Linked DNA regions of Lepisosteus oculatus. The protein of the gene in region 3 interacts with the protein of the main gene of each other region in a biochemical or structural test. Links are inferred from orthologs where the notes say so. Each region holds a gene or a part of one and is shown on either strand. Other genes may lie near its edges.

Region 1 (7,109 bases), on a different chromosome or scaffold from region 3:
GCGATGGACGCGACATGCAACCCGACGCACGGCTCCGGGAGCTCCGGTTTCTTGGCCCCTTACCGGGACCGATACACATTACGTAGCGGCACTCCACATGCACCTCCCGGGTCTCCTAAAATAGCGAAACTTTCTCGTGCCTTGCCCCCCTGATAAGTCTCTTTTTAGCTCCTCCTCGTCTGCATCTTACAACGCGTAAAATTGCCTCTCCTCGAAAGCGCCGGTCACATTTTAAACATCTATCCTACTTTACGTGTTCAAGGAATTTCTTATGCCACAGGTAAAAAAAAAAAAACAAAAAAGGCAAAACGGGAAAAAAAACTCTACCCCCCCTGCCCCCCTTTCCGCGCAAGACACGACCTGGGCGACAAGCGGCCCACAAACCTCAGGAAACACGTCACAGCGAGGGAGAACACGGGCGTGGAACAAAACAAGCTCGGGCACGCCTTCTTCCCAGCCACGGGCCTCCTCGCCTTGGTGTCTGAGGATCTAGTGCCACCTAAGGGGCTGCGGCAGAACTGCAGCCCGCTCCTGCTTTCTCACTTCCCAGATCGATCGGGGGGGCTTGTCGGCGCGGCCTGCTCCTTCTGTGCTGCCGGAGAGGCTGAGCCGATCGATTATCTCGTCCATGCGTGAAGGGGGCTCGGGGAATCGGCTTTAACTACATAGCTGCAGGGCAGTTGGCTCTAGAATATTTTCACAACAGGGTTGTTGATACTGGACGAATTGCCGATCTCAGTCAGAAATGTGGAATTTACAACTTACTCCAAATGCATCACGCTCTGAAGCAGTTTGAGACCTCACATTTTTGTACTCTCTCTCCTCATCTGTTTGCTGTTCAAGACTAAAAAGGTTTAGTTCCTCTAATCTGATACTGCTTTAAAGCCAGTAAATTAAACTCATTGCTTCTTCTTTGAACTGATTCCACAGAAACGATATCCTCCTTGCAATGGGGCAACCAAAACTGTACTGTATGTAGTATTCTAAAATGTAGTCATACTGCCATTGTCTAATTTGAACAACTTTTCTAAAGTTGACCTCAAAACCAAGCCCAACACTTTATTGGAGCTTTTTCTCTTGCTTTCACAGGCTGTCTGGATGTGGACACGGAGGTGTCAGCGTAAATGCCGAAACTGTTTTCATTAAAGTCGCTTATACAAATGAGAGCAGGCCTTTTTTCGCCATGTTCATTTAAGTTTGTTGTACATCATGTAACTAGTACTGGTACATCATGCTGGTCAGTGCGATACAACCCCTCTAGAAGAGCCAGTTGAACCTCAGCATACAAGGAAGGAGGAGCACACAGAGAAAACCCCCACAAATACAGGGAGAACATGCAAACTCCAGTCCAGGGCTTCAGAGCTTCAATGCCGGAGAACTTAGTACCCTGTAGTTGCTTTTACCTGGAGGTAATATTTTGCAGTGGTCTACATTAGGTTTGACTTCTCTACAGGTTCCAACTGAATGACCTCATCATTGGCTTAATTGAACTAATTTATCAGTTTCGCACAGCACTAAGGGGGGTGCTTTAAAGAGAAATAGGAAATCAGAAGACACACCTCCCTGTCCTATGGTGTAAATGTAATGTGGCATTCAATGTCATGACCAAATCTGCTGGAAGGCAGGCCTGAGTTTTGCATCAATCATCTTTATTCTGCCTTTTTTCAGCGATATGGAAATGACGCTATCAATCTTCCTGCTCTCGCTTTTCTCTGCCCTGCTCCCCGGTAACCGTTACAAGAACATTAAGGCATGTACCTCCAGATTGAGAGAGTTTCTTCCCGCAAACGGTCAGATTATTGAATTCTGCGTCTACTACCGTCTCAGACTGATGTTTTTTTTTCACATTACTCGTTGAAGAAAAAAAATGAGTTTCAAGTTGAGTGTTATTATTTGTTGTTAATTTGTCTCTAAGTTGATATTTCCTTGATATCTTTGTATGGAGCATACATGCAAATAAGCAATTAATCGCACTTGAGCGTGTGACAAGTAAACTGAGCTCTGACCTTTTGTGCAGACAGCACTTTAATTGCAATATCGATCCTTGTAGATCAGACACGAAGGATCTGGCTGTAGTAAAACTCTGGAACTGAACATATTGGAGAGAGCCGAAAGTTGCGTATCCCAGCCGTAACGGGACACGAAATCCTGTAGTCACTGCTTCTGCACAATTCGTGCAGACACATATTCATCCGGCTTACAGGATTTCATTATAGACTAGTCAATTATTGAAAAGTACTGCATTAGCTGTGTGCACGGCCATCTTGTTTATTTTGCTTCCGAGCACGAAAACCTCAGTACGGTCTTGCATGTTTATTCCAGAGAAGGATTCCTTAAAGTTCACCTCTTCTTGTTAACTCCTACTTCTACGGTGTTACGTATGCACCGATAACAAATACCTTCTTACTCAAATTAGAATCACTAAAAGGGAAAGTAATAGTTTCACCGCTCCGATAAAGCTTACATTTTGGACTACCGTAAATTACAAGTGAAAGATTATTCACTGTAATATATTATAGAACAGTTTACACAGATACGACACCTGAAGAAGGCTCCACGGCCGAAACGTTGTGTTTTTTCTCTCTTCTTTTTTTCAGCATGGAATATACCTATTACTTGTTACGATAGTATAACAACCTACTTCTTTTAACAACTCTAGGTATATACGACGTTCCTACTGTATATACCTTCATGAACACAGTACTTTAAAAGTGAAGTGCAACAATGTTTCATGATTTAAGCAGCTGGTTGAGCCGAGCACCTTAAAACGAATCGTATTACCTTCTCAGGAAATATATTTGAACCCAGTGCCATTTAAAAAAGTAATGACGTAAATAGCTCAGCATTACACATGAATTTAAAATGCTTGACAAAACAGGCATGTTTAAACGACATACTTGCCTTTACAGTGTTGGTGTCACAGTGTCCATGTTTTCAAAATAAAAAGAAAATTCGCAGGAAACGAAAAAGTAATGACCAGCGAAACGACGTCTCAAAGTAGAACGGGAATTACCGTTCCAGATAAAGATTTAATTCCACCTGAGGCAATCGTGGGTTGAACACTAATCACATTCAGGTGGGTATAGATCAAAGTGCACATACATTCACACAGGATGGTGTTTGCATGTTTTTTTTAACAAAGCCTTTTATCTTGCAGATGAATAAAGTGATACCTCCTTTCTGGTTTTTAAGAAGACCTTTATTGGTAAACATAATGCCAAAATAAAATTACAGTTTCGAAGTTATTTTTAAAAAATATTTAAAATATAAGATTCAAATTAAACAAATTTCTGTGTTGTCTGTGCTAAGCTGCTGTTGCACTGCAATTTCCCTCACGGGATCAATAAAGTATCTATCTAAAAAAAATATTCTAATTAGAATTATATATACAATATCAATAATTACAATCGCCATTTCCCTATAAATGATACATTGTCAGTCTTTGCCCACAATGTGCTTGAATCCGAAACGTTGTCCAAAGGATCGTCGTATTACAAAAACAGCAATATGACAAAAGTATTATTTCTTACTTTCCATTTTTATTAATAAAGCCTACGAAACTTTTATACTGCATTAGCGACATTTCAATAAAGATGACAATTTATGTAATTTGGGCAATGCTAATAAATCACGTTTCGGGTAAAGTATTAAATCACCCCCTTTTCGAAAAGCATACATATTTGATTCCGTGAGCATTAATTACGGTGTCAAACACAACACTTATTAACATTTTATTTTCACACTTCATCGAAAGCATGACGTCTCATCCCCCAGCAATCTCTTTAAAATTTTAAACTTCAGAAATGTGTGCCAGTGGGTGGAATTTCATGCCGTTCTGCACAATTCCGCCAATCAGCAACCGAGATAGTGACACTCTCTACGGTACACCAATCACAGCCCTTTATTCTGGACTTCGTCATATCAGAGACGGTCTATGGGCCATTTAGTTGTGTTAAGCCCGCCTTCTGTCGATTGTGGTCCAATGAGAAAGATGAATTTTCAGATTGTGGCCTATGGGATTAGAGTGGGCGGGCGGTTGAGTCCGGAGCGCCAAGAGTTTGAGTTGAGTAACCATAGGGCAAAGATGGCGACTATGGGTGAAAGTGTTATATTTTTTTCTTTTTGTATTGAAGGATAATCTGAGTTTTTGGTGTGCGAGAAGGTATTTTAGAGAGATTACGGATTGCAAAAATAGGGTAGGGCGAATTTGAGTTACCGCGTTGTGTGTAAGATAGTATTTTGACACCAGCCTGGTTTAAATGTTATCACTTGCTTGGCATTCAGCTCCTTGCATACGTGTTATGGTTACGTTTATAGATTTTGTAAATCTTTTGATAGTAACTGAACCAATTGGCTGAAAAAAAAACATGTATGTCATGCCAGACCTCAGCAGTGATCGACTAGCGGGCGAAAGACGTTGTGCGTTGTTATGTAGGTGATAAAAATTGAATCTACCAGGCGGTACAGATCCTTGTTTGTCACTTCTTTACGAAACGAGAAAAGCAATCGGGAGTCATGGTTTCCTTTAATTTGGTATTCGTGATTGACATTTCCGATCGGGGAAATAATAGGTCTGGCGATGGTGGCGTTCATATCAGACCGCATCTTCTGAAACAGGGCGTGCTGAAAATCCTCCTCTATTTCGGCTGCAGATTCGGTTTTGAGAAAGTCCGATGGGGCTATAAATTTTACGACGTTCACGGAGGCCGATGTATCGTATCCAGGGCTTCCGACTTCAAAGAACTTCTGGACAAGACTTTCGAGGATTTTGAAGGGGAATTTCAGGAGAAACTCGAGGAGAAAAGGGTTAGAAATACGGCAGCGGCCCCGGGTAACTCGCTCATAAACCCGGTCCGATCTGTCCACACAGTATTGAAAGAGACTTTACTGGATTTCCAGTGGGACAGACCAGATATTACCTCCCCGACCAAGATAGCGTTGCGTCCCAGAAGACGGCTCCGGGCTGAAAGTAAAATGACCCCACACCTCACTTTGGCAGAGGAGGACCTGTCGGGGAAGAGTCAAAATATTTTGTTCCTCGTCTCCGCCTGTCCGCGCTCCCGGGGGGAGGTGGAAGAGTTCCTGACGCGCCCGGGGGCCTGCGGAGAGCCTCGCAAAGAGCTGGCAGAGCGCATCCTGCCCAGGGCTCTCCAGGAGATGGTCGCCCAGAATAAAGTCGTCCTTCACTGGGTGGATGCAACAGTCAACTCCCATGTAAGTCGCTTTAATTTCCAAGAGTTGTCAAACTACCCGTTTACTTAGCGAAACCGCTCTTCAATGTCACCTTTTGGTCGGATTGATTCTATAATATAATTCTAATGTTCTTAACTGGGTGGAATTCAGCCTTTTGAGAGAGAGGAGTTTATCTGCCACCCGTACATGTGCATTGGGATTCTCCTTCGCGCTGTTCTCTTGTGGTGTGTACAGTGCAATAGACCACACCACACCGTAGGCACATTACATAATGATATAGTAAAGGATCAATAATGACCGTCGCACAATAGTACAGGTCAGTGAACACACACGGGACAGCAGATCTGTGACAGCCATTGAGACGTGCCGAGTGCAGGTGGGAGTCAGATGCTCCTCTGTGTACTTGCAGGTGTGCAGGCCTGCCGACCACACTGGCTGCGAGTTGGTGTCGGAGGTGCTGAGACAGGTCGGCGGGAGCGTCCTGCCCTTGGATGCTCTGCTGTGGCTGTCGGAGCCTGGGAAGAGCGGCCTCGGAGGACCGGCACAGAGCTGGGATCACGAGTGGCCTCTCGCCCGCGGAGGAAGAGAAGCCGTCTTCCCTCTGGACTCCAGCCTCAGCTGCCTTCTGTCTTCAGAGCAGCTATACCGGGTTGCCTTTCCCAGCCAGACTGGAGTGCTGCAGTGGGGAGCAGGTACTGAGCCTCCGACTCTTTAATCAGCTTAAATAACAAGTAACTCATGCTAGGTGAGAGTCTGACACCCAAGCAGAGGGAAAGATGGAGATCAATGTAAGGTAAATGAGAACTGCATCCTCGTATGACTGCTGTACATATTTTTCTTTGGGGTTTTGCTACTCCAAGGTGATCGTGATTTTATTGAGTCTTTTTGGTTTAGGAATGGATGTAAAGTTCCTGTTACTTTGATGTTACCCATCAGAGACATTTATTTTTTCCCCACTCTGGTCTAAGCTGTGCTTCACATGTCTTGCAACTTGCAACTTATAAAACCCGCAATGGCTTGAACTGCTGTGCATTGGGAGCATTTCTGCTCTGCATCTTGCAGTTGACAGTGAATGCCAGAGCTATGCATCCTCATTTCATGTGTGTTTTGCATGCAATGTACAGGAAAGGAGAGCAAGTCCTGTGCTGTCTCCCTGGAGCCCATGTCCCTCAGGCAGAGGGTGCTGCCCAGCTCGGTGAACATCACGCTTCACGGAGTTCTGTCGGAGTGGAGCGCTCCGGCCCTGGGGGGGCTGAGCTTGGAGGGCTGGGTGTTGCACGACTCCCGGGACCCTGCAGAGACGGCTGCCGAGTCTCTGTTCCTCCAGCTTCTGAACGAACTTTCTTCACAGGCTCTTCACATGGTGAGCGCTCGCTTGGGGAATTATTACACCGCAAAGAGTAAACGTTCCCCAAATATCATGCCTGGAAAAAAGCATGTGTGTGTCGATATCTGTTGTGGGGGGAACAAAACTCAAAATATATTCAGGTAGTTAACGTGAGAAGGTGTCATGGTCTCCTGAGTAAATGCATTTTCACGTCTTTCAAGTATGTTTGTTGCACAACATGTTTTTGTTATTTGGCTTGTTTTCTTACAAGGCACCAGCATGTGAAAGATTTTTTTGATGTTGTTTTTGTTGTGCATGTTTGGCAGTGAATCCCCAGCTGTTACCTTACTTTATTAAGCACATGTTCCTTGCTGTATAAGGACTCAGATGTTAAGTTCCGCCGTCATGTTGTAGAGGCACTGCTTGATCCTTGTCTATCCCAGTTTGCGGAGGTAGAAGGGAGTGACCAGGGCCCCCCCTGCACGGCAGTGTTGTCCCCTCTCTCGGCCTCCACGGGTCTGCTCACCGTCCTCCAGCCTCAGCTGGCTTCAGCCCAAGGCCTTGTGCTCCAGGGGGCCACTGAGCCCTC
Region 2 (7,718 bases), on a different chromosome or scaffold from region 3:
CGACGGACAGTGGTGCTGCCTGCAGAGGCCCGCCCACGGTCAATTAGCGAAAGGAGGAAGATTCCAATTAGTAATCTAATTAATCTCAATTAATGAGACTGAGAGGAATTCATCTCAACACGTAGTCTGCCTGAGCACTTTTACACTTTGAGCCACATGGCAACCCTACCCTTTGAGCATTTTAGCTTTAAAAGAGCCAACAGTGTCCAAGAATAACCAGCTGAGACTTAGAAAACAGACAATATGTGGAAAGTGAACTGGCAACGTGCAACTCAACACTACATAAAAATGGCAGAGAACCTGCCTTTCAGACCCCACTTTGCTCCAGTCTCACAGTGATTCTAACCAACATGATTGCAGAAGAAGAAGAAGAATTCCTTACACTTGTACAGTGTTTTTCTGGACACTCCACTCAAAGCACTTTACAGGTAATGAGTAATCCCACTATCACCACCAATGTGCAGCCCCCACCCGGATGACGTGATGGCACCCATAGTGCGCCAGTATGCTCCCCACATACCAGTTCTCAGTGGGGAGAACAGATGCAAAATGTATAGAGCTGACCTTCTTTGCCAGCTCCTTCTCCTTTTCACTCTGGATGTTGGCTCTTTCTTTCTCCAAGAGGAGCTGGGCTTTTCTCTGCTTGTCCCGCTCTTGCTCTGTGTGCTGCAGAGAGTCCCGCAGCACTCGGATCTCCCCGTTCTTCATCAGCAGCTGAGACTCCGCTTCCTTCAGCTGACAGGGAGGGGAGGGAGAAAGAAAAGAGATATCGCTCGTTAGACCCTTTTCCGAGTTAACCACACGACTTTGGTAAGTCAAGCTGAGATTTCTTTATTCCAATAAAGAAAGGAGGACAGACAGACTTAACAGGTTAACCTTGTGTCTCACTCACTTTCGTAAGGACAGCAACAGGCTTTTATTCTTGAAGATGAGCAAAATTTTCAGACACAAACATACATTTCTGATTGGACAGTATCAATTTCTTACCATATCAGGTGTAAACAAGGTCAGAAAGTCAAGCCGTTAGGTCAGCCTCAAGCTGACCAATTAACCAAGCAATTAACCAAGATCCCTAATTAACTAAGACCCCTGCAGCTTTTCACGTTGCTAAAAAGCATAAGATACGTGAGTTACAGCTCCAATCAAAGACTTTGAAGAAAACCCAGCAAGCTGGGAATGCACAAAAAAACCAAATAGTTCTTGCGGGCTTTATTGTTAACTCATGACCGGCATACGTTCATTCAACTCAGACATTTTTAATGAGTAGGAAATGTCTGCTCAATATGGACTTCAACAGCCAAACTGACCAAAATTCTCCATGACACTAGACAGAATCCCTATCCCAACTCAAGGAGTGGGTAACGATGTCTAATAGAATACTTGAAGTAACTATGGTGTTTCATAGTACTGAAATTTGAGATTTTTTAAAAAATTGAGCATAAAGTGACAATACTGTCACAGTTGTACATAAGAAGAACCTTTAAGCCATATTCCAATTTTTCAAAAAACATTTAATTTAGTGCAAGCTCACCTTTTTCTTAAGCTCTTCATGTTGAGCTTCAAATGACTCGTAGAATGCTTCTCTGCCTCTCCTGAATTGTTCTCCATTTCCTGTCAGGAAATCCCAAACCCACAGTCTTTTTAATCATGAAATGAGCGAGCAGCAGGAGTGGTTCCTTTGCAAAGTCACTGGTTAACACTTACTAAATGAAACAGGGGAGTTAATGTAACAATTGTATACATTGCACAACAAATACTTTTGTTCTACTAGAAAAGCTGCTGATAGTTTCCACTCCCCTGCATTACAATTAATTTTATACAAGATAACATGTATGCACTCTAATGTGTTATGAACAACATTTTAAAAGCATACCGCAGGTTTCCTTGGTTGTGGATCTGTCAGAGGTGCCCAACTTGCTCAGCCCACCATCGCTGCCCACATGATAACTGTTGCCAATAGCAAAGGTAGTTCTGACCTCTGCTGTTGGCCTGCTTTTCGTGGTTTGTTCAGGTTTGTTCGCTTCCACAGGCTCAGTAAATGCCTGGGATGCAATAGTATCAATCTCATCCAGATCATCTTGTGTAAAGTCATCGTCCTCTCCGAAGCAATCGGCCACGTTCTGACCTGCTCCCTTATGGCGCTTCAGAGGAGGGCACTCCATGCCATGGTCTCCGGGTGAACGTCGTCCAGTGACGGCAGAAAGCCCCGCTACCGAAGCACCCAATTTGTCTTGAGCAACACTGATATTTCTCCTGTTCGCATAAATATTGTAGTCAGACATCCTGACAATCAGTACTCTGGAAGATCAGAAAAGAATAAACAAAATATTAAAACTAAATAACAGACCTCACAATAAGTAAAGATCTTCTTCTCCGATCAGCACCAGAGCTTTTAACCCTGGTGTTTACTGTATGCCCACTGTATACAGTATGTGTACCCGGACCGTAATTTATGAATGGCGGAAAGAAGAAAAAACATATTTTCTGGTCGGGTAAGGACCGAATACCTTCGAATATCAATAAAACCGAAAGCGCTTAAGGCAAAAGCATGTTTAGAAAAAAGTTTTTAAAATTCAAAAATATTAATTTCCGTGACAAACTGGGGAGGTTACACCGAAAACCGAAAGCAAATGAGATGTTTTAAATCCTCTTTAGAAAAGAAGGATGAACACATCGGGTTTATCTTAACGTTTAACAAAATGCTTATCATTCGTAAATGGACAATTATATAAAGAAGTAAAGCTATATATTAAATATTTAATATATATTATATTAGAAAGTGGGAATGACTGAACTACTGCTCACACATTTTTAACTCAAACAAAACTTCGCTAACTTTTTGGGAGAAACAGAAAATAAAGTATCTGAAATAAAACTGAATACGTCCTGAAAACAAACCTGATATTAAATCACACAATTCCATTGCGTAGTGCCACTTCAATTATACAATTCTCATATTCAGACTGCAAAAGCAGACCCGAACTAACACATCCTCATCTCATTCTACATACTTTACAATATTGATTTCTGCACTCTAGACGTCTCAAGTACCACAGCCAATCATATCGCAGGTTCTAACAATAACTGTGAAGTAAGACGCGATTCTATTGGAGAAAAAGGCAGTTGCTGTCTACGGAAAGCGAATAGGACACATTTTGTTTCCGCCGTTAGAGCGGAAGTTATCTTCAACAAAACAGAACAGGGCATAGTAGGATAGCTACGAAGCGTATTATTGTGTTTTTATTGAACTCTTTGCAATCACACATTTTGCCCTTACAGTATGGGAGACCAGGTGTTAAATGTTCCCCTAATGTTTTCCTTCCAGTTTTAACTGACCTCGATATTTGTTCTTGAATAATTAAACGCGTTTCCTTTATGTTAAATATCAAAGAACAGTAGTCTTCTGTAGCTTTGGTATTCCAGTGTTTGTGCACTTTAGCAAAATTATTTTACCTCGGTCACTCGCATGCCAAGCTAGGAAGGATACATGCTTTATTTTCTATTTCGTTCTCCATGAAACTCCACGTGGTTTCTCCCTTTTTTTTAGAGACTCGGTTCGTAGAAAACCTTTTGTTAAAATCACCATGAATAATTACCAGGAGCTACATCAATACGCCTAGTTTGGGCAGCTTTAATAATATAGTACTCAATTTTTTTTAAAGTAGTGCTGTTGTACATACTACAAAACAATGAAAGAAATAACAAGTGAATTCCAAAAAACGGGGGCAAGTTATTAGTTTAACTGTAACATCCCTCTGCTAAAAAAAAATATATTTAAAATGTTCTCCGATTACTCTGGTATTCATTCGAAGGAGTTAGAAAGGCTGGGTATAAGGGTCAAGAAGAGGTTTATTCTATGCTGAAAGCAAAAACTAGGGGAAAAAATCCGCCGTGGAAAACGCTTTTTTTCAAGGTTACGTGTTTAGACCTAACCACTGCTTATTTGCGATAGTTGTTTGTTGCTTTCATTTGAATAACGTCTGCTCCCTGATCTTCCGTTTTATTCATTTGCTAAAACGGTTACAGGTCTCCCCGTCCTGCCAGGTCCAGCTACTTAGGGCTTGTTTGTGTACGTGCAGGAGCCGAGCTGGGCTTTGTGACGTCACCCCCCCAACCTCACAATGCAATTGGCTGCAGCGGAGCTGTGACGCGCAACAATGTTTACCAGCTGAGTAAGTGGGCAGTTTTGCTGGTAGAGGAGAGATTAACTTGGTTAGCGGGGGTGGAAGAGACTGTGTTAAATTAGAACAAAAAAAAATCGATAAGTAGGCAGTTGTTTCAGATTAAAATACATTATATTTCATCTATATACTTACACTTGACGAACGGACACGTTTAAACGGTTTTTGATCGGAGTTTTTCCCCCTTTTTTGTACAAAGGGAAAGTATTGCTTAGCGTCAGACAGGCCCAGCCTTATTGTTCAGTTTGCTTTCCGTCTTCCCAAAATAATCGCTTAAAATTCCGACTTTTTTTCGGTGGATTGATCGCTATTCGGTCACTAAAGCCGTCTCTCGCCTTGCAACAAAGCGATTTGTGTCTGTTGGGAGGTGCAAACACGGGTTGTTTTTCTGGTTTTCGACGGCTCATGAGAAAATTACCCACTCGATAAAATGAAAACTGAGATCTCCACAGCTGCGAAGTTTATCACCCGGTTGCTGAGGACAACTGGTTTCCTGTCCGAAGACCAACTCCAACGTTTTAGTCAGTCTCTGGAAGAAGCCTTGGGAGGTGAGCAAAGGTTTATAAACTCTTTTAACTTTTTTAAAAAAATATTTGAATCGTTCGGTTTTAACGCCGCCTTTTGAGGATATTTTCTCCATCGGTGTCTCCCAAGACCTGATTTATGGCTTGTCGGGACATGAAAGTCCCTTCACTAGAAAGGGTCTATGAACTCTGAATCTGGGCTACAAACGATCAGTGGCGAGGACATTAGACTAGACTTCGTTTCTCAAATACAACCATTCTCTGATATGAGCATTTCTTACTTTTGTCACAGAAAAAAAAAACGCGACCCAGAAAGTGTTAAAGGAATTCGACGCCGGTATATTTCTCTTTTTTTTAATGTACGTTGGGTGGTTTGTTTTTAAATGCTATTTTGAAAGTTCAACCGTTTCTTTCTTTCTTTCTTCTCTTGCTCCCGCAGAACATTACAAACAACACTGGTTCCCACAGGCTCCCTGCAGGGGCTCGGGCTACCGGTGCATCCGGATCAACCACAAGATGGATCCTTTGATAGGAAAAGCCGCCAGCACCATCGGACTCAACCGGGAGCAGCTCTTCACGCTGTTGCCCAGTGAACTGACACTGTGGGTCGACCCGTTCGAGGTTTCCTATCGTATAGGAGAGGATGGGTCCATCTGTGTCCTGTACGAGTCCACGCCACCCGCCATTGTGAATCCCAGTGTGGTGGACAGAAACAGCTGTAAGGAAGAACTCAGGTTCGGAAGGTCTAGCCCTTCCAAGTCGTACAATATGATGACCGTTTCAAGCTAAGCTTTACATACGAAGCTGTTTTTGTACAGTCCTGTATGTATTTTGCCGTCATTTGATAATGTAATTGTTGTTCCTCTTCTTTCTTTAGACATTAAAGTTAAGTATAACTGCCAAAACTATTTGTGTATTGTGGCCAAGGGCTATTGTACAAAATGAGCTGCATTGTAACGTTCCTGGATTGTATGATGTAAATTACATGTACAGTCATGTGGCGGTGTTTTACAGATTTATATTTTAAAACAAATCCTTGGGTATTTGTAATAAAACTCCCATATTTGAGCAGTGCTCTGGATTGGCAGCTTTTTCATTTTTTTGTGCTTTGTTACCAGTGGATGATTTAGGGCTTTAGTAGGGAAAAGGCTTCAAGGTTTTGTACAATGACACAAGGGAGCACACTAATCATGTCTTAAGCACATGTTTTTTTTTAAACATTGATTCCATCTTTTCAAGCGATTATTTTTGCACCATTCACTGTAATGGGCAGGTTTTGTATAAAAGATTAGCTAAATTAATCGGAATGCAGTTTCCTTCACAATCTTCTAATTAACCTGGCTTTTTGGCTTCCGAACAACACAGAACACAAAACTTAGAAGATCAGAAGTGGCAGTGGCTACTTGTGTAATTTCTCTTTCTACATTAGTTTCCTGCGAATAACATACCTTACACTAATAAAGATGAAAATTCATGTGGAATTAATAGAAATTGTACACACAAAATGTTTAGGGCAATTTCTTCTCATGTAAATTCTTGTCCATGCAGTACTACTGTTTTCGGTTCCACCTGGTTAAGGAAGTATTTGTGATTATGATGCAGACTGCTTCTTGGAATTACATTTCCTAAGTCTTAAATGAAATATAAAAGGTTTTGATTAAACCTGAAATGGTCTGTTCAGTTTGGAAGTACAGTAAGATGGTATTACTTTATTTGGACTCATGGGATGAGATGGTACATTTTTTACTTTGAATTCCACTGTTTTCAAGCAAGTTTCAAGCAACTTGAGATCTATATAGCCTGAAAATCTTATCAGATAGTGTGCTGCTTATATTAGTATATGACACAAGATGCCAGCTGGGAGAAACTCAAGATAATGGGATTAAGTGGTGTACGTTTTATCCTTTTCCTGAGATTTTAAAAAGAAATCAGCGGGTTTGGAGGCCTCTTAAGAAAAAAGAAGCCCCCAAAATGAATGTTTACTTTCATCCAAGATCCTTACTTTGATTTATACAAGAGCCCCTTTATATAGGCTCCTTGTTAAGAAAATTAACCAGTTCAACCTAGTTAATCCAAGAAAAAAGCATTGATTAAATTATGAACGATCATGATACTTGAAAGTGACATTTTATAATCCATCAAAGCAAAAATGTTTTAAATCAACAGGAAAAGGAACTGTTGGAGTAATAATAAACTTTATTTTATATAGTGCCTTTAAACGTGGCTTCTCAAAGCGCTTTACAGGATGACAACAACAATAAATAAGAAGAATACACAAGATAAAACACAATAACATATAGAGGAGACCGTGGATGGTGGTACTAAGAAAAGCAGAGGGGTGAAGAATGGAACCAGTTAAGTAAAGGCTTTTCTGAAGAAGAGGGTTTTGAGTCTGGTTTTGCTCAGATATATTATAACTGTTTTTATTTTTATAATTTTCTCAGAGTAAGAGTAAGACAACACAAATATCACACAATACTGGGGATTACTCCACAGCCCCACTGAGTAGTTTTAAGGGGTATAGGTCACGTCTTGTTTTATATATTTCACAAAAGAGTGTTTTTCCAGATTCACACAAACATTTGTAATTTGTACATTACATGAAATACAACTGCATTCTTTTCTATCTTCAGAAAAGGCCTGCCTGAATTACTTTTCTAACTAGAACTCAGTTGATATCTGTCTTATACAAAATGTACATAAGAAAAACTATCGTGTACACAAATGGTCTGCCACCAATGTAACCACACAATTTGGTAGTCAAAATTATGTTGTTGTTTCTTACAAAAGGAAGGAATGCATTCAATATCATAATAGGATGTCAGGTCTTAAAAACTTGCTGAACAGACTTAAAAGACTTCAACAACTGCAGATTCATTTGAATTGTGAATGAATAGCGCAAGAATAAGACGTATTTATCTGACCTGGAATATCACAGTCGTTGTTCTCATTGCATCATTTCAGAAGCTTTTTTGTATCCTATGTTTGTGAAATACAGTAGGCTATACTACCT
Region 3 (7,217 bases):
TCCACAGCCGAAATGGTGTGTTTTCTTTCTTCTTTTCAGCATGGAATAAACCTGTTACTTGTTCCTTTGCAGCCTGCGTATGTTGACGCAGCTCCCCACCTGAACTGCTTCAACCGTATAAGAAACTTACGGAAACTGTGGCAGGAGATGTACCGTATGCACCTAGATGAAGTAGATCACGTTCAACTATTCATATTTTGGACAGAAATCAAATATTTTCTGAAGCCGTGCTACTAATTCTGGAATTTGTGCCGGTTGCCCCTTTCCCTCTTAGTTGGACACTGCTTCTCCTCTTCCTTCGCCTCTGGCATTCCTTCCTTTTTCCTTTTCTCTTCAGGCGTCTCCGCACCTTCCCTTCTGAGTGGTAGTAGCCCTCATCACCTCAGAAGTGGGCTCTAGACCTCTTCTCCCAGGGCTTCTTGCTTACTTCTCTCTAGCTCTGAAGCAGGTAGAACACAGTGTGTTCTGGTGTTTTCCTTTATCACATGCTGTTTCACTGTTGCCTTTCTCTTTGCGTATTGTGTCACAATATACGTCCGATGAATATCATCTTCATCTTAATACATTATGAGGGAACATGCAGTAGATATCCAGCTCGCTTTCCTTTATTCTTAGACATACTTGCTGAAAAGGTCATAAAATTTTACTTTCCAGCCTCCTTTTGCCATTTAAAAGAACACTCCACCTGAACTTGAAAAATTCACCAGCGAAGATCTTGCCGACACTGAGTCTGCGCTTAGCAAATAGAAACTTTGTTTTTGTTGAAGGTCACAGAGCAGAGCGGAAATATGTCCACAGCTGTGCATGCTTTTTAACAGAGTGGAACCATTAAAAACATTTCACAAATGGGTGGAAAAAAAACTATGCAAAATGCTTTGTAATCTTTTAATGTCTGCTTTAGGAGTAACTGTAGATGGAGACAGTTTTTCACCACCACCCCAGCCTCTTAAAGAGTGTCGGGGGATTTTTTAAATACATTTTTATAATTGTTTGCAACACCTCTGTGATATTTGAAAACTTGACTTTATTCATTTCTTTTTTTTTATGTTCAACTGCAGGTCCCGGAGTTGCTGGCTATCTTACCGCTGGGACAGGATCCACAGTCCTATCTAGTGTGCCCCCCCCTGTTGACAATGACGTTGGAGACTTGGGCTGAAAGGCTTCAGTCTTTCGAGCTTGACAGCGACCTGTGGAACATGAAGTGGAGACTTCCCCAGTCCATAGGATTCTGTTCAAAGCGTTGTTGCCTTTTTTTGTTTTTTTTTTTGGTCACAGTGACACAAGCATAATTTACTTTTCTACGAATATATTTTTTATTTGGGAGAAAGGAGAGAAAACAAAAAGATCAAGGAAGTCATTCCTGTCCTCTCGACCTTGTCAGTTTTGATACACAGCCCCCCTGCCCCTTGAAGAAAACGCCAAACAAGATGTGTCAAGCAGAGGCAAGCATTTGTCTTGCCCTACTTAACGTGTTATCGGTTTACAAGACTGTGAATCTGATTTATAAATTGTTTTCCTAATTTTTATAATGTTGTTTTACAGTGCTAAAGATAAAAAGAAAACTCGACTGTGGTGTTTTATTACAGTCTACTTGTACTGCTCTAGAAACAAAAAACCTGTCCACCACCTCCACCATCAGTTGTGGATCTCGCTGTGTGCAGCACTGTCTCTGAAATCTAGTTGTAATATTGACTGTTCATTTGATCAAGTCCTGCACTTCTCTGCTTCTGCTGTACCTCTTCCCAAACCTTCTTTCATATTTTTTTCCCCCCGGAGTACAAAAAGCACTAGATATTTCTACTCACAGTATAACTGCCTTTACAAACTTATATGAGCTTCTGCAAAAAAGAGGAGGAACAATAATATTGACTCGGATTTAAAATATTATGTAAAAGACTAGTGCGTTTGTGAAATGTTCTATATAATATGCCGTATATAAACTTTCTATATTGAATGTACATTAAGAAGAAAAAAAATCAGCCACTCCTGTACATAAAATTTTAAGAATAAACAAAGGGAATACACATTATCGTGTTCTGTGTCTTAACATTTGGCCTGCATTTATTACGCTTCAGTGTTTTCAGCCACTAGCCTGAATTCTTCTCAAGGAGTCTTTAAGTTAGCCAACTAACTTAATTTCACTGTGATCATCATTCAAGAGACAATGACATTTGAATAGCCAGTTTTTTCACAAGAACATGTTACCTTTTAATCAGTGATTGTCTTGTAACAGAGACACTTATTAAAGGATCACCCATATGCAAAAATAAAGCTCCAGGTATCCTATTACACTGTATAACACTTAAAGCAATTTTATGCATTATAGAAAAAGGTCAGATATGATCGTTTTGCATTAATAGATGATGGTGAGTAAAGTAATGTTAAGTAAAGTAAATGTTAGCAAACAATACATGACCTTAGGATCACTTTTTTATAATTTCTTATGAATACATTTGTTATGTTTTTGATGTTTGCAAATTATAACTGTTATGTGAAAGCTGCTTTTTCCTAGTAAGGGTCACAGCAAACCAGGATTCTATCCCAGAAGGAAAGAAAGGAAGTGTGGCCTACATTCTGGATGAGACACCAGTCACTGAGAACACGTACACAAGCACACAGGGACAATGTAGATTCAATTTATAGATGCTTCTCTGGAGCACAATATCTCATGAACACAGAGAACGTATTCCAACTCTACATGGCAGGAACCCTGATTGATTCAAAATCAAATCCAGGACACGTGCTTTTTATAAAGATTACATGTTGCAGAAATTCATGCACGTCAAATATAGCGGAGCGGTGACTCTGTGGCTAAGGATCTGCGCCAGTGGCTGGAAGGTTGCTGGTTCGTATCCGAGGCCAGCAGAGGAATCCTACTCCGTTGGGCCCCTGAGCAAGGCCCTTAACCCCAACTGCTCCAGGGGCGCCATATAAATGGCTGACCCTGCACTCTGACCCCAAGCCTCTCTCCCAGTCTGTGTGTCTCATGGAGAGCAAGCTGGGATTTCATTTATTATCTACTGTTCCCTTCCTGATGGCTTTGTTTGGTAGACAGTTTGGTACCATATGTAACTTATAAACATATTATTAACATATAAACAAATAATTTACATCACTACAATTTTAATACTTTTGCATTACAAAAATAAAAACTTGATTTCTTGGCTTAAGGCTCCCCAATCTCTTGTCCATATGTCCTTTTATACACCTTAAACATTACTTCTGTTAAACGTCTCTTTCTACTGTACATATATATATATAACAATTCAAAATACTTGTCCACAAATACTAAAATAATTTTTCTAGCAGCAAACCCGTTTGTTCCCGTTTTGCTCAGCTTTTTGTCAACGATGTCGTTTTAAACAGGTCAACATTTACAGTATCTCTTTGCACCCAGTAGCATTCCAGTTCAAGTGTGAACCAGTGCGTGGGGTAGTGTTGTGTGGCTTTGTTGTGATTTGGTTAATTTTGCTCTTTGCTAGCAGCGCTGGCCTCACGTCAGTGACTCTACTGCAGCTGACAGTAGCGTGTGGAACTGGGATCCTTGTCACTGTTCCTGTTGGACTGAAAACGTCCCTCTATTCCGCTCCTTTTCAAATAAACTGCGTAGTTTTGCATAGTTACTGTAGATAGAAACAGCTCTTTAGCTACTTATGTTTATCTGAGGTATAAAACACTATTCAAATACCAGTAAAACGCTTTACTATTGCAGTCGTATATGTTTTTTGTCGGAAAATCCTGCTTAAAGAAAATCTTCTCAATAGTAATCCTCTCATTTGTACGACGTTAAATTTAAAGCTGAAAACATCTCTATTGATGTGCTTTTTTAAATCAACTGCACTGTTTTGAACAAGGTTCTGTAGATATAAGAGTTCGTTTGCTAAACACGCTAATCTGAGTAATAAAACACTATTCAAACACCAGTAAAACAGGTTTACTATTGCAATCGAATTATTTGTGTCAGAAAACCCTGTAAAGAACCTCTTCTAGATAGGTATCCTCTAATTTGCACTACGTAAAACTTAAGTCCATGTTGCTTATAAACAAGTATAATCAATTAAAACAGCATTGCGAGTCGCCAAATCCAATGCAATACCTGCTATTGCACACCCACTGCGAAAGGAAAGACAATCTCACGTGCTACTGTTTGGAGGGAGCAGCTTCTCCTCCAGCTGGGCATGACGTCAGACAGAGCGACGCGAGATACCGGTTCTGGGCAGGAAGTCCGGCGCCGGACAAGGAGGTGGAGGTTTGGCGCCAATCAGTGGCAAATCGAAAATACCCTGTGTTCTTTCTTTAGGGAAATTGTTATGATGTATCTATCTCAACGAATGACTTGTTTTGAGAAGACGCTCCCTTTTTTCTTTTCTCTTCGTTGTTGAGTGTGAAACTCAAGACGGCGATACTAGCCGAACACTGGATTGTCAACCCGGACTAAAAACGCGAAACGCTGAAATACGAGCTCGCAGGATCTTGTATTGTAACTCCCGGTTTATTTTATGCACTTGCTTGTGGACACGGTGTGTTGAACCGGGACGTGGTAAGTTCAGCATTACTGAATTATTTCCGCACATCGCTGACTTCACGTGTACAGCTGTTTGAAAAATAGACGGGTTGATAGTTACTGTTTGAGCTTGTCCGCTTTGAAATTGATGAACATTGATCGCATTGAGCAAGTACCGCAAGTTGTCAGTAAATCGTGGCTTTGCTCAGCTGTAGTTCCGTCATGTGATCGTATTGTTATGTTCCGTTCCTTTTCCCACAGTGAATTTTGGTTGGTTTCTTATTTTGGTGTTTTGAAATGCCGTTGGACCTTATTTGTTGTGGATTATTCTCTATTACATTTTATTATTGTTACACCTGTATTTAATTAACTGTTCTTCAAGAGAAGATGAGAGTCCGATGACTGGTGGGCTCTTATTCATTAGAACAAAGACGAAACAAGAGCAATCAGTTTTAGACGTATTCAGTTCCATAATATTACAATTATTACCCCTACATTGCCTTGTGTGTTAACTGTTCTGAAAATGTTCTCAAACTGTAACATCAAGGTGCAGTTATGCTGACCCTATTTTTAATGTAACTGAGTGCAGGAAAAACAATGATGTACCTTATGCGGCAGGAGTTTCAGTCTTGCGATATGATCGTTTTTAATAATAATAATTGCTTACACTTGACACTCCACTCAAAACTCCACTCTGGACACTCCACTCAAAGCGCTTTACAGGTAATGGGGATCCCCTCCACCACCACCGATGTGCATCATCCACGGCAGCCATAGTGCGCCAGAACGCTCACCACACATCAGCTATCAGTGGGGAGAAGAGCAGAGTAATGTAGCCAATTCATAGATGGGGATTATAAGGAGACCATGATTGGTAAGGGCCAATGGGAAATTTGACCAGGATGCCGGGGTTACACCCTTACTCTTTTCGAGAAAAGCCCTGGGATTTTTAATAACCACAGAGAGTCAGGACCTCGATTTTACGTCTCATCCGAAGGACGGCGCCTGTTTACAGTATAGTGTCCCCGTCACCATACTGGGGCATTAGGACCCACATGGACCGCAGGGTGAGCGCCCCCTGCTGGCCCCACTAACACCTCTTCCAGCAGCAACCTTGGTTTTTCCCAGTAGGTTTCCCATCCAGGTACTGACCAGGCTCACACCTGCTTAGCTTCAGTGGGTTGCCAGTTGTGAGTTGCAGGGTGATTGTTTTTGTTTGCGAAGGAACAGGTAACGGGTTTATTCCATGCTGAAAAGGAAAGAAAGGAAACGCAACGTTTCGGCTGTGGAGCCTTCTTCAGGTGTGAGAAAGACAGGGCAGGCAGCAAAGATTAAATAGCACAGGAGAACAAAAGCTGGGAGAGGGGCGAGATAGAGAGGCCACTCAGGAAATGCATATCGGAGAGGGGTGAAGGAATGTGTGAAGTCGAAACCTGTATGAGAATAGAGAAGATTACATGAAAATAAGTTGTCTTTGAGAGAAGGGGGAAGGTGTGAACCTAGTTTCAGGATGCGTTTCGTTTCTCCTGAAAACTAGGTCCCCTTCTCTTAATGGCAGACTTATTATCACGTAGTCTTCTCTATTCTCATACAGGTTTCGACTTCAACCCTCTTCACTTTGCACCACCTGAGTGGCCTCTCTGCCTCTCCCTCCTCCCAGCTTTTGTTCTCCTGTGCTGTTTAATCTTTGCCGTCTGCCCTGTCTTTCTCACACCTGAAGAAGGCTCCACAGCCGAAACGTTGTGTTTCCCTTCTCTTCATTTCAGCGTGGAATAAACCCGTTCCCTTTTCCTTTGCAGCCTACACCTGCCGACGCTGCTACCTACTTGAACTCCTGTCATTTCTGTTTGTTTAGAAACATTGAATATAGGATGTCCACGGAAGATAAAGGAGTATTCCTCGTGAAGTTTGTGAAGACCAGCGAAGAAAGATCAGAGCGTGCCGTGAAAGCCTTTGAGGTAAGGAGTTCCTTTGACTGCTGCCTGGACTGTTGTTTGACTTTGTGTCTGACAGCTGTGAATACACAATAGACTCAAGGTTCTAACAGACAAGCCAGGCTTTTCCAGAAGGTTTGGTTCTAATGACTTGTGCCCGCTAATATGATGTCAGCTTGACTGTGGTTGGGTAGCCTTAGGGTTAAAACAGAATGGCCAAGGTAATAGGATAGCAGTTTGCTTTTCAGGCAAAGGATTTGGAGTATAAAAGTAATTTATATACACACACCTGAAGAAGGTCCCATAGCTGAACTGTTGCTTAATTTCTTCTCTTTTCAGCATGGGATAAACTAAACGTGTTCCTAAGTAATTTATATGTCCCACTAATGGATCACTTATAGCATTGCTGTTTTTAATATGCGTAAATGACATAACCAGCCACATGACCTAAATTTATATACTGCTTATTAGTTGTGGATCAACTGGAACCACTTCTAAATCTAAAGTGTTCTGAGATCCTTTTGGGATGGAGGAAATTGTAGTGGAATGGAATTTATTATTGTCAAAAGCTTATTAGTCTAATTTTAATTCCGTCTTACTGTTTCCTTAGGAGATGTTGCTAATGGAATCTGTATCCCACACATTACTGTATTCTGGTTTTCATCGTTTCTAAATTCATCACAAATCATTTTTTGTCTTCCAGGCAATCAGAGAGCTGCAATCGGAAAAATACCTCCAAAATATAGATGAGAAGGAAGCCCTCCTTTTAAAACACAATG

What was found.
Region 1: the proteins of topbp1 (region 3) and ticrr form a complex in vitro, tested with the Homo sapiens proteins (2 studies listed by BioGRID). The link is inferred for Lepisosteus oculatus from reciprocal best matches to the Homo sapiens genes TOPBP1 and TICRR.
Region 2: the proteins of topbp1 (region 3) and atrip form a complex in vitro, tested with the Homo sapiens proteins (2 studies listed by BioGRID). The link is inferred for Lepisosteus oculatus from reciprocal best matches to the Homo sapiens genes TOPBP1 and ATRIP.

The regions. Positions count from the first base shown.
Region 1 is NC_090700.1:60,756,478-60,763,586, reverse strand, and holds the start of ticrr (treslin), read left to right. Parts: upstream 1-4,084; 5' UTR 4,085-4,515; coding exon 4,516-5,214; intron 5,215-5,602; coding exon 5,603-5,885; intron 5,886-6,317; coding exon 6,318-6,556; intron 6,557-6,963; coding exon 6,964-7,109.
Region 2 is NC_090699.1:61,370,079-61,377,796, forward strand, and holds the start of atrip (ATR-interacting protein), read right to left. Parts: upstream 3,026-7,718; 5' UTR 2,899-3,025; intron 2,299-2,898; 5' UTR 2,283-2,298; coding exon 1,874-2,282; intron 1,612-1,873; coding exon 1,532-1,611; intron 736-1,531; coding exon 565-735; intron 1-564. Other genes in the region: protein BTG1, read left to right, coding at 4,612-4,729, 5,145-5,494. UniProt on the Homo sapiens protein: Required for checkpoint signaling after DNA damage. Required for ATR expression, possibly by stabilizing the protein.
Region 3 is NC_090701.1:16,016,973-16,024,189, reverse strand, and holds the start of topbp1 (DNA topoisomerase 2-binding protein 1), read left to right. Parts: upstream 1-4,209; 5' UTR 4,210-4,540; intron 4,541-6,359; 5' UTR 6,360-6,375; coding exon 6,376-6,462; intron 6,463-7,141; coding exon 7,142-7,217. Other genes in the region: dnaJ homolog subfamily C member 13, read left to right, coding at 1,059-1,156. UniProt on the Homo sapiens protein: Scaffold protein that acts as a key protein-protein adapter in DNA replication and DNA repair. Composed of multiple BRCT domains, which specifically recognize and bind phosphorylated proteins, bringing proteins together into functional combinations.